Drosophila melanogaster: one gene and its partner. The protein of the gene in region 2 interacts with the protein of the main gene of each other region in a pairwise test. Each region holds a gene or a part of one and is shown on either strand. Other genes may lie near its edges.

Region 1 (4,705 bases), on a different chromosome or scaffold from region 2:
TCCCTGGAGATCCTCGACTTGAGCTCGAACCATGTGGGCAATTGGTACCGCAGTGCCTTCCACAACAACTCCGCCCTAAGGGTTTTGAACCTGAGAAGCAACACCATCAACATGCTGTCCAACGAGATGTTGAAGGACTTTGAGCGATTGGATTACCTTAGTCTCGGGGACAACGACTTTATTTGCGACTGCCATTTGAGAGCGGTGGTGGAGGTGGCGGCCGCCAATAATAAAGATGCAGACTGCTCCTATAGACTGCTGAACTATAGTCAGAATGCCGTAGGTGAGGAGGTAATATCTCTGGCGGAGTCACTAATTATAGATCGCAAGCTATGGCAGAGTCGCTATATTCCCTGGCTGCAGAGAAGTTACTCCAACATCAGGGAGTTCAATCGCGCGAATCATATAATCAAGCTGCGCTTCTCCTCCGAGGACTACATGGTAGCCAAGTGCTCCGCGGCCCAGCCATACCACTTAGGGGACCTTGACGGAGATCTTACCCTAAAATTTCAGCTGCTCGACTACGAGGCCAGTCAGTATTACTGCTTCAACAACACCGATCAGCTCCAGGTGGATGAGCTCAACTGCCAGATCAGGTCGATGAGTGACCTCGCCGAGGAGTTGCACCACGTTACGAACACAGTGATCGCAGTCATGGGCAGCTTAGTTGGCGCTTGCATCCTGGGATTTATAATTTATCTGAAGCGCTGGCACATCCACTACTATTACTCTTCCCTGAAGTCCGCTGCCTTGTTGTCCAGTGCGTCCAAGGAGTCGGTGAATAAATTCACAAACATATCCCAGAGAGATCCCAGTGCCGTCTACGATATCTTCATCAGCTACTGCCAGAATGATCGGACCTGGGTGCTCAATGAACTGCTGCCGAACGTGGAGGAAACTGGGGATGTGTCCATTTGTCTGCATGAAAGAGATTTTCAGGTGAAGCGTACTTATCTTACAACATTAACTTACTAATAAAGTGAAACCTTAACCCTTAATTCACATGCAGATTGGAGTGACCATCCTAGATAACATCATCTCCTGCATGGATCGCTCGTATTCCCTTATGCTGATCATATCCTCCAAGTTCCTGTTGAGTCATTGGTGTCAATTTGAAATGTATTTGGCACAGCATCGGTAAGGAATCTTTATCTGTAAAATTCAAATATTAAAATCAATATATGTGTGTATATTGTAGCATCTTTGAGGTCAGCAAGGAGCACTTGATCCTGGTTTTTCTGGAGGACATTCCACGGCGAAAGCGACCCAAGACTTTGCAATATCTCATGGATGTGAAAACGTATATAAAGTGGCCGACGGCCAAGGAGGATCGAAAGCTGTTTTGGAAACGTCTGAAGAGATCCCTGGAGGTCATAGGGATCAACTCCAGAGAGATCAGTGTTTAGAAAACATGTAATTTTATCCGGAGAGTTCTAGTCAGTTGTGCACGTACCTGATATAGTATATAAACTACTTAATTACACTTTCATGAAGACGAAAGTTTCCCCACAGTAATCATAGTAATATGCAAAATTTGCTGCTGAACATAAGTATAGTTTAAACATATATTAATAAATAAAGGTATTTAGGTTTTTAAGAGCTTATGTGATGTTTTTGAAATATCTTAACAAAGGCAATAGCGTCGTATATTAAACATAACCTACTACTACTGGACACTATGTAAACAAAGCTAAGGCCTAAGAAATATCTAACAATGCAACACACAATCAATACATCAGTACCAATTGACTGATAATAACAATTAAAAACGTTTAATTTTGAAATACAAATTGAATAAACCGCAAGCATCGATAATGAGCAGAAAACTATCGATAACAACTGACACAGCTGATATTTGCCATCAGTAGTTTGCGCGCCAAAACAACAAACGGGCATTCCACAAATTGTAAATTACTATAGCAATTCCCGCGACTCACAATGGAGTTTGGTCTGAAGAAACGCGCGAGACATGAGGTGAAGGTGGAGGTGGCCAGCCTGGAAACCAAGTACCCGCACAACGTCATGCTGTACCACTATCCGCCGACGGAGGACGTGCACATAGACGAATTCGAGGAGCTGGCTCTAGAGCGCTTGCGCCTTCTCCGCGTCCTGGATCGCGCAAGCACCCGGAACCTGCGCGTGCTCTCAGATGAATGGAAGGAAATCGTGAGTGCGGACCTGACCCGCGAGGGATTGCGCAGCTATTTAAGGCTCTGCTCCACCGGCGGAAGCGCCAAGCACGAGGCGGATATCCAGACCCGCAGGCGGGACTATCTTTCGCACTTCATCTTGCGGCTGGCCTACTGCCGCTCCGAGGACCTTGCGCGCTGGTTCGTGGCCCGCGAAATGGAGCTCTTCCGGTACAAATTCGCTGCACTTAGCAGCTTCGAGGTGAAGCAGTTCCTTGAGGCCAACGGCTTTGAGATTCACCCCCTCACCGAGGCCCAGAAGGACGAAGTCAAGGACGGCCTGTACGAGAGCACGGTCGGACAGAGCGTGGCGAAGATCGAGCTGTTGGACTTCTACAAGGTGCCCTTCACCCAGGTGCTCGATCTGGTGCGCGGACGTCGCTGCTTTTTAAAGGCTGGCTACGCCTATGTTAACACCCACGACCTGGTGTCCCTAGTGGGCACCAAGCAGCAGGACGAGATCGAGCAAGGCCTGCAGGCTGCTAAGACTATGGTGGAGGATGTAGAAGCCGACGAGCGCATCTCCCGCACACTTAAAGCTCTACATAACTCGTATACCGGTAGGGATTACACCGTTTGTCGGGATGCAGCTGTGCCCATCGAGTCGCTCGATCAGCTCTCCAAGACCTCCATGCCGTTGTGTATGCGCATGTGCCACGAGCACATTCGTGCCAACCATCACATAAAACATAGCGGCCGAATGCAATACGGCCTGTTTCTCAAAGGAATTGGCGTGGCACTGGAGGATTCGCTGCGCTTCTGGCGCGAAGAGTTTACCAAGAAAATGGACGCGGATAAGTTTACACGCAGCTACGAGTACAATATTTACCATAACTACGGAAAGAAGGGTTCCATGGTCAACTACACACCCTACTCGTGCGCCAAGATTATCAAGGATGTGGCGGGGCCGGGCGATTGCCACGGCTGTCCGTATAAGAACATGGATCAGGGCTCGTTGAAAACCAAGCTGTCCTCCTATGGCCTGTCAGCCAGTGCCATCGACGAGGTGATGTTCTTTGTGTCCCGCGGTCACTATCAAATTGGATGCGGCAAGTACTTCCAACTTACCCACAATTCACCCGTCGAGCCGAGCATCAATCACCCCAACAACTACTTCGAGGAGAGCCAGATAGCGATGGGCAACCGGCAGAAGCGCGCCAATGGTTCTGCTCCGCCCAAGGCCAGAATCCGTCCAGATATCAAGGGCCATGGGGATCGGTCCATGCTGATGGGTGACGATGACGATGAGTTGTGGCGAATCGCGGAAACCCAGGAGCGTATCATGCAGAGCCAAAAGGACATATCCGAGGCCTTCAATGATGATCTAGATCTTACGCAAATCGATTACTAAACGTTGTACAACATAAATTAACTAAGGTACATATATATTTAAGCATCGTAAATAAGAAAAGTTATATTATTCCATGGTTCGGACTTCACCTCCGGCACAAGTAGCACGTTTTAAGCCTAGGATCAACAGTGTTCTCCGAGTTTCGGCCGTAAGGGGGCCAGCCATTGACATCTACGTAGTAGATGCCCCTGGCTTGGGGATTCATTCGATAGCCCATCGGGGAAACTATGCCAGCAGAACAATCCCGTTTTCTTAGCTCATCCCAAGAAGCGCACTTCTTGCCCATAAAGTTCTTCTCTTGGTGTGGATATGCACTCTCGGCGAAATACTCAACGGCTCGGGTATGAGAGCATCCGATGGTTAGGCAGCCTGGCTGGATGGGATGTGCTCCGCCGGGATAGAAGTCCACATCACCGAGGGGTCCACGCTTGGCCAAAATACCAATGTTGGTGTGGATTATGTCCACTAGCTTGGCATCGCCACGCGTCAATCCTGGCAGAATCTTTTCCCGCCTGAAACATGGCTTGGCCGGATCCAAGCCAGTTATCCTGGGTATAAGTTTTCCGGTAAGCTTCTTAAAAGTCCGACCAGCAGTGCCCATAATGTGAGCTCCTAGTGAATGTCCTACAAAGAAATCAGAACCAGAATTTATGGACACAAAGGATTCCTTTATGAACCCACCAATCAAGTGAATATTTCGAAGTGGGGTCAGCTCTATAAGGTGGGTCAGACCAACTCCAATATGCTCTCCAATTAAATCCGTGTTCAGCGCCGACCACGCGTAGAAGGTGTCCACATAGTCAGCCGCATCTACAATCTGAGATGGAAGCCTTAGATATGAACTTTCAGAATTGATTCACGAGACGAACCACAAAATTCACATCGCCACGACACATGAATGCCTTAGAGATCATCGAAATGGCCGAGGATTCGTTTACGGTGTTGGTCCATCCGGTGGCCAGAATTACCACCTTACGTCCCTTGCTGAATCGAGAGTGCTTCCACAGCTTCGAGGCCTCCAGCAGGGGCACACTGTAGTTCTGGCACGGCGTCATGTACTGAAAATGCATCTTCCTTATGTCCGGAGTGATTTGCGCAGGGATTCTGTCCATAAAGAGGGTGGAAGAACCTGGCATTTAGATCACAATAAAATCAAATAACTTTT
Region 2 (5,911 bases):
TATAAAATTGTGTCTCAACAGAAAAGCCACACAATCCGATGATCAACGCTGGTGCCATTCTGACGTGCTCCCTGATGAACGCCCTTGTCAAGCCGGACATGACCTCCGCTGAGATCTTCGACTACACCATGTCTTGGTTCAAACGGCTGTCGGGCGGAGAGTATATCGGCTTTAATAATGCCGTATTCCTGTCCGAACGCGAGGCTGCCGATCGGAACTATGCCCTGGGCTTCTACATGCGGGAGAACAAGTGCTTCCCCAAGCGCACCAATCTCAAGGAGGTGATGGACTTTTACTTCCAGTGCTGCTCCATGGAGACCAACTGCGAGGCAATGTCCGTAATCGCGGCCAGTTTGGCCAATGGTGGCATCTGCCCCACCACCGAGGAGAAGGTGTTCCGGCCGGAGGTAATCCGGGATGTGCTCTCGATTATGCACTCATGCGGTACATACGACTATTCCGGACAGTTCGCCTTCAAGGTGGGTCTGCCAGCCAAGTCTGGAGTGAGTGGCGGCATGATGCTGGTCATCCCCAACGTAATGGGCATCTTTGCCTGGTCTCCGCCCTTGGATCACTTAGGCAATACAGTGAGAGGACTACAGTTTTGTGAGGAGCTGGTCTCCATGTTCAATTTCCATCGCTACGACAACCTGAAGCATCTGTCCAACAAGAAGGATCCGCGGAAGCACCGCTACGAGACCAAGGGTCTGTCCATCGTGAATCTACTCTTTTCAGCTGCCAGCGGCGATGTTACAGCCTTGCGGCGTCATCGTCTCTCCGGAATGGATATCACTCTGGCCGACTACGATGGTCGCACTGCCCTCCATTTGGCTGCGTCCGAAGGACACTTGGAGTGCGTCAAGTTCCTGCTGGAACAGTGTCATGTACCACACAACCCCAAGGATCGCTGGGGAAATCTGCCCGTGGATGAGGCAGAGAACTTCGGCCACTGTCACGTGGTGGAGTTCCTTCGCTCCTGGGCGGAGAAGGCCGACCAGTCCAGCGAGGAGTGCAAGCCCGAGGCGGTGACCAGCAAGACACAAGCGGATGAGGTCAGTTCAAGTTCAAACTCAAGTTCAAGTCCAGGTTCAAGTCCAGGTTCAAGTCCAGGTTCAAGTCCAGGTTCAAGTCCAGGTTCAAGTCCAGGTTCAAGTCCAGGCTCAAGTCCATGTGCAAGTTTAACGACGGGGGACCTTTTGGGGCACAATTCCAGAAATCTATATGAAATGCTCAAGCTGAATTCCAATTTCACCTTCCAGGAAATCTGCAGCACAAGCGACCTGGAGACCAGTCCGACAACCAGTCCCATTCCCACTCCCGTGGAATCCGGATCCAGGGCAGGATCAGGACGGTCCAGCCCGGTGCCATCGGATGCGGGCAGCACGGCGAGCGCCGGAAGCAGCATCGATGACAAAACCAAGCCGGGACTATAAGCGTACAGAGATCCAGGATCCCAGCCGAATCTCTCTGACTAAATTATTCGCACAACATTTTAGTTTATATATGATGTATTAGATTAAAGTTAAGAGTACCCAAAATACCATCAGTTCACGCTGCTTGGTTAGTCCTATATAATTTGTAGTAGTCATCCCACGTGCAAGTCGTGATCCTTCGAGGCGGATCCACTGCACGAGCGGCATTTGTACTTGTACTTGGTAGCGCTTAGTTAGCCACAAAAATTCCATGTTATCCTACGAAACAATGACAATAATCTTAACGGATATCTAACTTTCCCACATAACTGGGGTCTGTGACCTGCCTAAATGTATTGCATTCGTACTTGTCAATTGATATTTGTATGCGTTTGAATGTGTATTAAGAATCCCGTTTAAAAAGATCATATGTAAGTTCAGATATACATATTTGCTTGATGGCAATTGAATATATACATGTTTAGCTGAAAACGCACACAATATATGGCATATCGTTACTTAATGGGTCTTTTGAGGTTGGAAGATTATACATGATATATAAGAATAATAAATAAAAGATGTTTACTTACTAATTTTCTTAGAGCAATCGTAATTATACCTTTTTAATCATTAACATCAAAATTTTAAAATATGAACTCTATATTTGCATTCAATCCTGTTTTAAATGGTGTTTGAATAAATCAATTAAATTATATTGATATTTTTAAACAAACCAGGAAAATTAGAATTGATTCATTGGCAATCCTTTGGGGTTTCAAAATCGATGTATTTAATTCAAACACTTTTTCATCAATCAATTTATTCTACATTTCATGTAAATAACTCGTTCCCCTTCTACACGTATGTGCTATAAACTTTGAAAACCGAACGTATTTTACACGAAGCCACAAGACACGAAGCTGGATTATAGCACCATTATGGCATGTCATCGGTTAGTTTTCCCAGTGCCGCATGGCTCAGTTCGTTCGCAGCATTCGTGGAGTTCGGACGTGAATGTGTTATTGACTCACAGCGTTTGTGTTCCGTGCCGGTTTGTTTGCGGAGTTTCCATCATCCGTCAGCTCCCTTGCAGGCCGCTTCATCTCCGCCGGAGGAGGGATGCACTCCGTTCGCGTTCGGGCAGATGAATTAATTGTGGAAAATTGTTAAATTCCAGCTCGTTGAAGCGGCCGCAAATCCAATTAAGCGCATACACCATTCGCGCGGAGAGTTTGTGCATAATAGAGTAATTAAGTTTTCATTGAAAAGGGTTTTTGACACCGCACCGTCACACGCCACACGAACTTGGGGTAGGTTCACATTTTGCCGCAAAGACAGCAAATCGAGAGTGGCAAGAACAACAGGAGCATCGTTTCCGTTTCCGCTTTGCTAGCTGGTTTCTCATATAAGAGTGCATAAAGCACAGATTTCGCCAGACCCAAATCGGATTATTAAGTCCCTGCCACAAAAGGATGTCTGTTGTGGGAAGACTAGGCATCCCAGGCAGCCTCCATCCCAACCCATTCCGTCTCCCAGGCCCCGATTTCTGCATCCCCCCCCCTTCCCCTTGACAATCTCTCTGCACAAGTCATAGTCTGCATATCCGGGCCTCGAAATATTTGGAGCCCTTCTTTTGTGAGTGGATTTTTGGCCGCTCGCTTTGTTTGTTTGCTTCATTTGGCGCAGCTATGGGCAGCGTCAGCAGCTGCGGGATTGCATAATGTCCAGCTTCCTCTCCAGAAAGTAGCCCACAGCGATTGGGGATTGGTAAGTGGGTCTGCCCTCTGGAAACAACAAGATCTCAAATCTAATAGGAAATTCTTGATTCTTTTCTTGGGGGACATGTACTTAGGAGGCTAGAAAAGCTTTTAAAGCGCCAGCTAATTAGTTCATATTAATTAAAGAACAAATCACACAAAGCTATTATAGAATTTCATGGTGTGTGAGAACTCAATAATTAACAAAGAAATCTTATTTATTTATTAATAATAATGGAAGCAACTGCTCCATATGCTACGCTACCAACCATTAATGGTTACACAAAATATTACTTTGTATTTATATTACTTTGTATTTTTTTAGCTAGAAATACTTACAATACATACTTGTTACAAAGCTTAAATAATCTTCCGAATATTACTCAAAGTAATCAAATTTTATAATTTTGAGAACTTTACTTTGCTCCCCAAAAGAGTGAATCAAATGACTGAGGGCGAGAGCCTTTGGTGATTCCAATCAAAACCGAACTGCATGCACCCGTAACCCGAACATGTCTCTCTCTCATTTACTAATAATACCCTTGAGTTGGGACCTGTATAATCAGCATAATCCAGGCAGAGGGAATGTCAATCCCCATCGTCCAGTTCCGTGGGAACTGGACACATGTGTGAGTGTGTGGATAGGGACAGTGGGCTATGCAAACGATTCGCAGGAATTTCGGAATGAAGGGGCGGACTGCGGTTGCCGGTTGACTGGTTGACTGGGCAAAGGAAGTTGGCTTCGGCATCAGCAAATGCCAGGCATTGATGTGTCCATCAAGTGTCTCTGCATCGAGTTCAACGAACCCCCAAGAACTAGAACGTCCAATAATAATTGATTGGTGGGAAAGCAGGAAAAGGGCGCCGAACGAAAGAACCCACACACACTCTAAGCAGGAGTATCTGGAGTATCTGGAGTATCTGGAGTATCTTCGACATGACGGGCGACGTGAATCGGAAATTGGCGCTCTCTGCAGAACGCATTCGGACGTGTGATGAGCCAATTTCACACATGGCAGAGGCGGCGGAAAAAATACACGAAATCCGCAAGACAAAAAAAAAAAAACACAAACAGAGAGCGAGCCAAGTGCAATGCCCTGGACTTCAGTTGACGCTGCACTTTTGCCACCTTGTGGAGTCGCCAAAAATAAATGCCAAAAGCCATTTCCACTTCCCGCCATGAAAAGCGACTTCCCCGCTTATAATGCTTGCTTCTCCCCATTCGAAAGGCCCATATATTGTACAGAACTATATATACAGACTTATGGCGGCGCCGCCATTCATCAACAGATGAGAGCTACACCCCCTATTATTATGCAGAGTTGCGGATGTGGAATCAGAAACTGAATCTGAATCGGAATCCTGCTGCTGCTCTGTTGTTCTCTCTATTAAAATGCCACATTTAAATGCCCAGCCTCATAAACGTTTCTCTTCTCGCAATGCAGCCAGTCAGCGGAGCAGAGGCATCAAAATTGATTGCTTTCACATGGACACGAACTCGGTGAGTCCCCTTCCGCCGATGGAGGAGGCCATGGACAGGGTCAGCGAGAAGTCGCCCCCGGGAACTCCCAATGGCATCGAGATGCCCCCGCCGCCGGATGAAAAGTGAGTTGAGCCAAAAATAGACCGTGAATCTGTGTAAAGTCTGTTGCTTTAAATATTAAAACAGCTCTTATGTAGGACCAAGTGTGATATAGATGGTCAAAGATTGCCTGCCACAAAAAAATCTTAAGAAAATTTAAGTTAAATGTTCATCAGTTCGAGGAAAGCTAAGTGTTAAATTTATTATTTTTGTAATAATAGGAGCAAGATTTAAAATTATAGATACAATAAGCATTTCGAATATTTACGAAGCCTTAGGGTTTGAAGAATAATTATATTTCTTATGAAGATGCTTTATTGTTATGCTATTTACTTTTAAATATTTTTATATTTCTTCGGTTATATTTTAAAAAGTTCTCTACCACACGACCAATTAATCCCCCATGCCCAGCTAATCAACACAATTTAGTCAACAGATTCCCCAACACATTTGTTTATCAATATTTAAGTAAATTGTGTCACTTATGCATAGCAAATTCGAGGCGGGCACAAGAACGTAGAGACCAATTTCCCCGGAGGCCAATTTGGAGCTCTTGTCTAGCCGACAATTGGCCTTGCCCATCTCCGATGCGATGCTCATCTGCCAGTTGGAAGCTCTAACTTGGGATGAGAGATATGTAAAACATGAAAAGACTTAGATACCCGGCTATTCGTACGCTGGCTTTAATCGATTTTAATGGCACCACGCGGCGTATGTGTAATATTTACATGAAATAGTGCCCGAGCACGTCAGGAATTGCCCCAAAGACTAATTAACAATGACGGTGAACGGGAAATGTCGACGCCTACACACCCTTTCAGGAGGTCCCGGTTATTTTTACGCGCCAATTTCCTAATTCACGTATCTTTGAAAGTCGTAAATTTTATTTTAATGCGACCTCGTTGCAAATCACACAAAAAGCCGGACACATCCTTCCTGTAACCCGTACAGGCCCACAAATTCAACAGTTGATCGCGTGCGCCCAACTCACATAGTAACTGGCCGTAAACATTTCGCCCGGAATCCTCCATTCTCCCACGTCCCTTGGCCATGTCCTTGTCCAATTTCTGGCACGAAGCTTGGTAAGCTTCAAGTAATTACTGGTATTTTTCCTTCTCTTCCCGAGGACTCAACCTTTTCGCCGCCTCGTTTTCATTTCA

What was found. Proteins that work in one complex are often made in the same cells at the same time.
Region 1: the proteins of nemy (region 2) and Prim2 interact in a two-hybrid assay, tested with the Drosophila melanogaster proteins (one large-scale study listed by BioGRID).

Annotation. Positions count from the first base shown.
Region 1 is NT_037436.4:20,358,741-20,363,445, reverse strand, and holds Prim2 (DNA primase subunit 2), read left to right. Parts: upstream 1-1,860; 5' UTR 1,861-1,938; coding exon 1,939-3,540; 3' UTR 3,541-3,613; downstream 3,614-4,705. Other genes in the region: Toll-9, read left to right, coding at 1-939, 1,010-1,137, 1,199-1,406; CG5665 (uncharacterized protein), read right to left, coding at 3,626-4,357, 4,410-4,669. UniProt on the Drosophila melanogaster protein: Regulatory subunit of the DNA primase complex and component of the DNA polymerase alpha complex (also known as the alpha DNA polymerase-primase complex) which play an essential role in the initiation of DNA synthesis.
Region 2 is NT_033778.4:12,666,698-12,672,608, reverse strand, and holds the start of nemy (no extended memory), read left to right. Parts: upstream 1-2,389; 5' UTR 2,390-2,722; intron 2,723-4,614; 5' UTR 4,615-4,655; coding exon 4,656-4,774; intron 4,775-5,911. Other genes in the region: GLS (glutaminase), read left to right, coding at 22-1,433.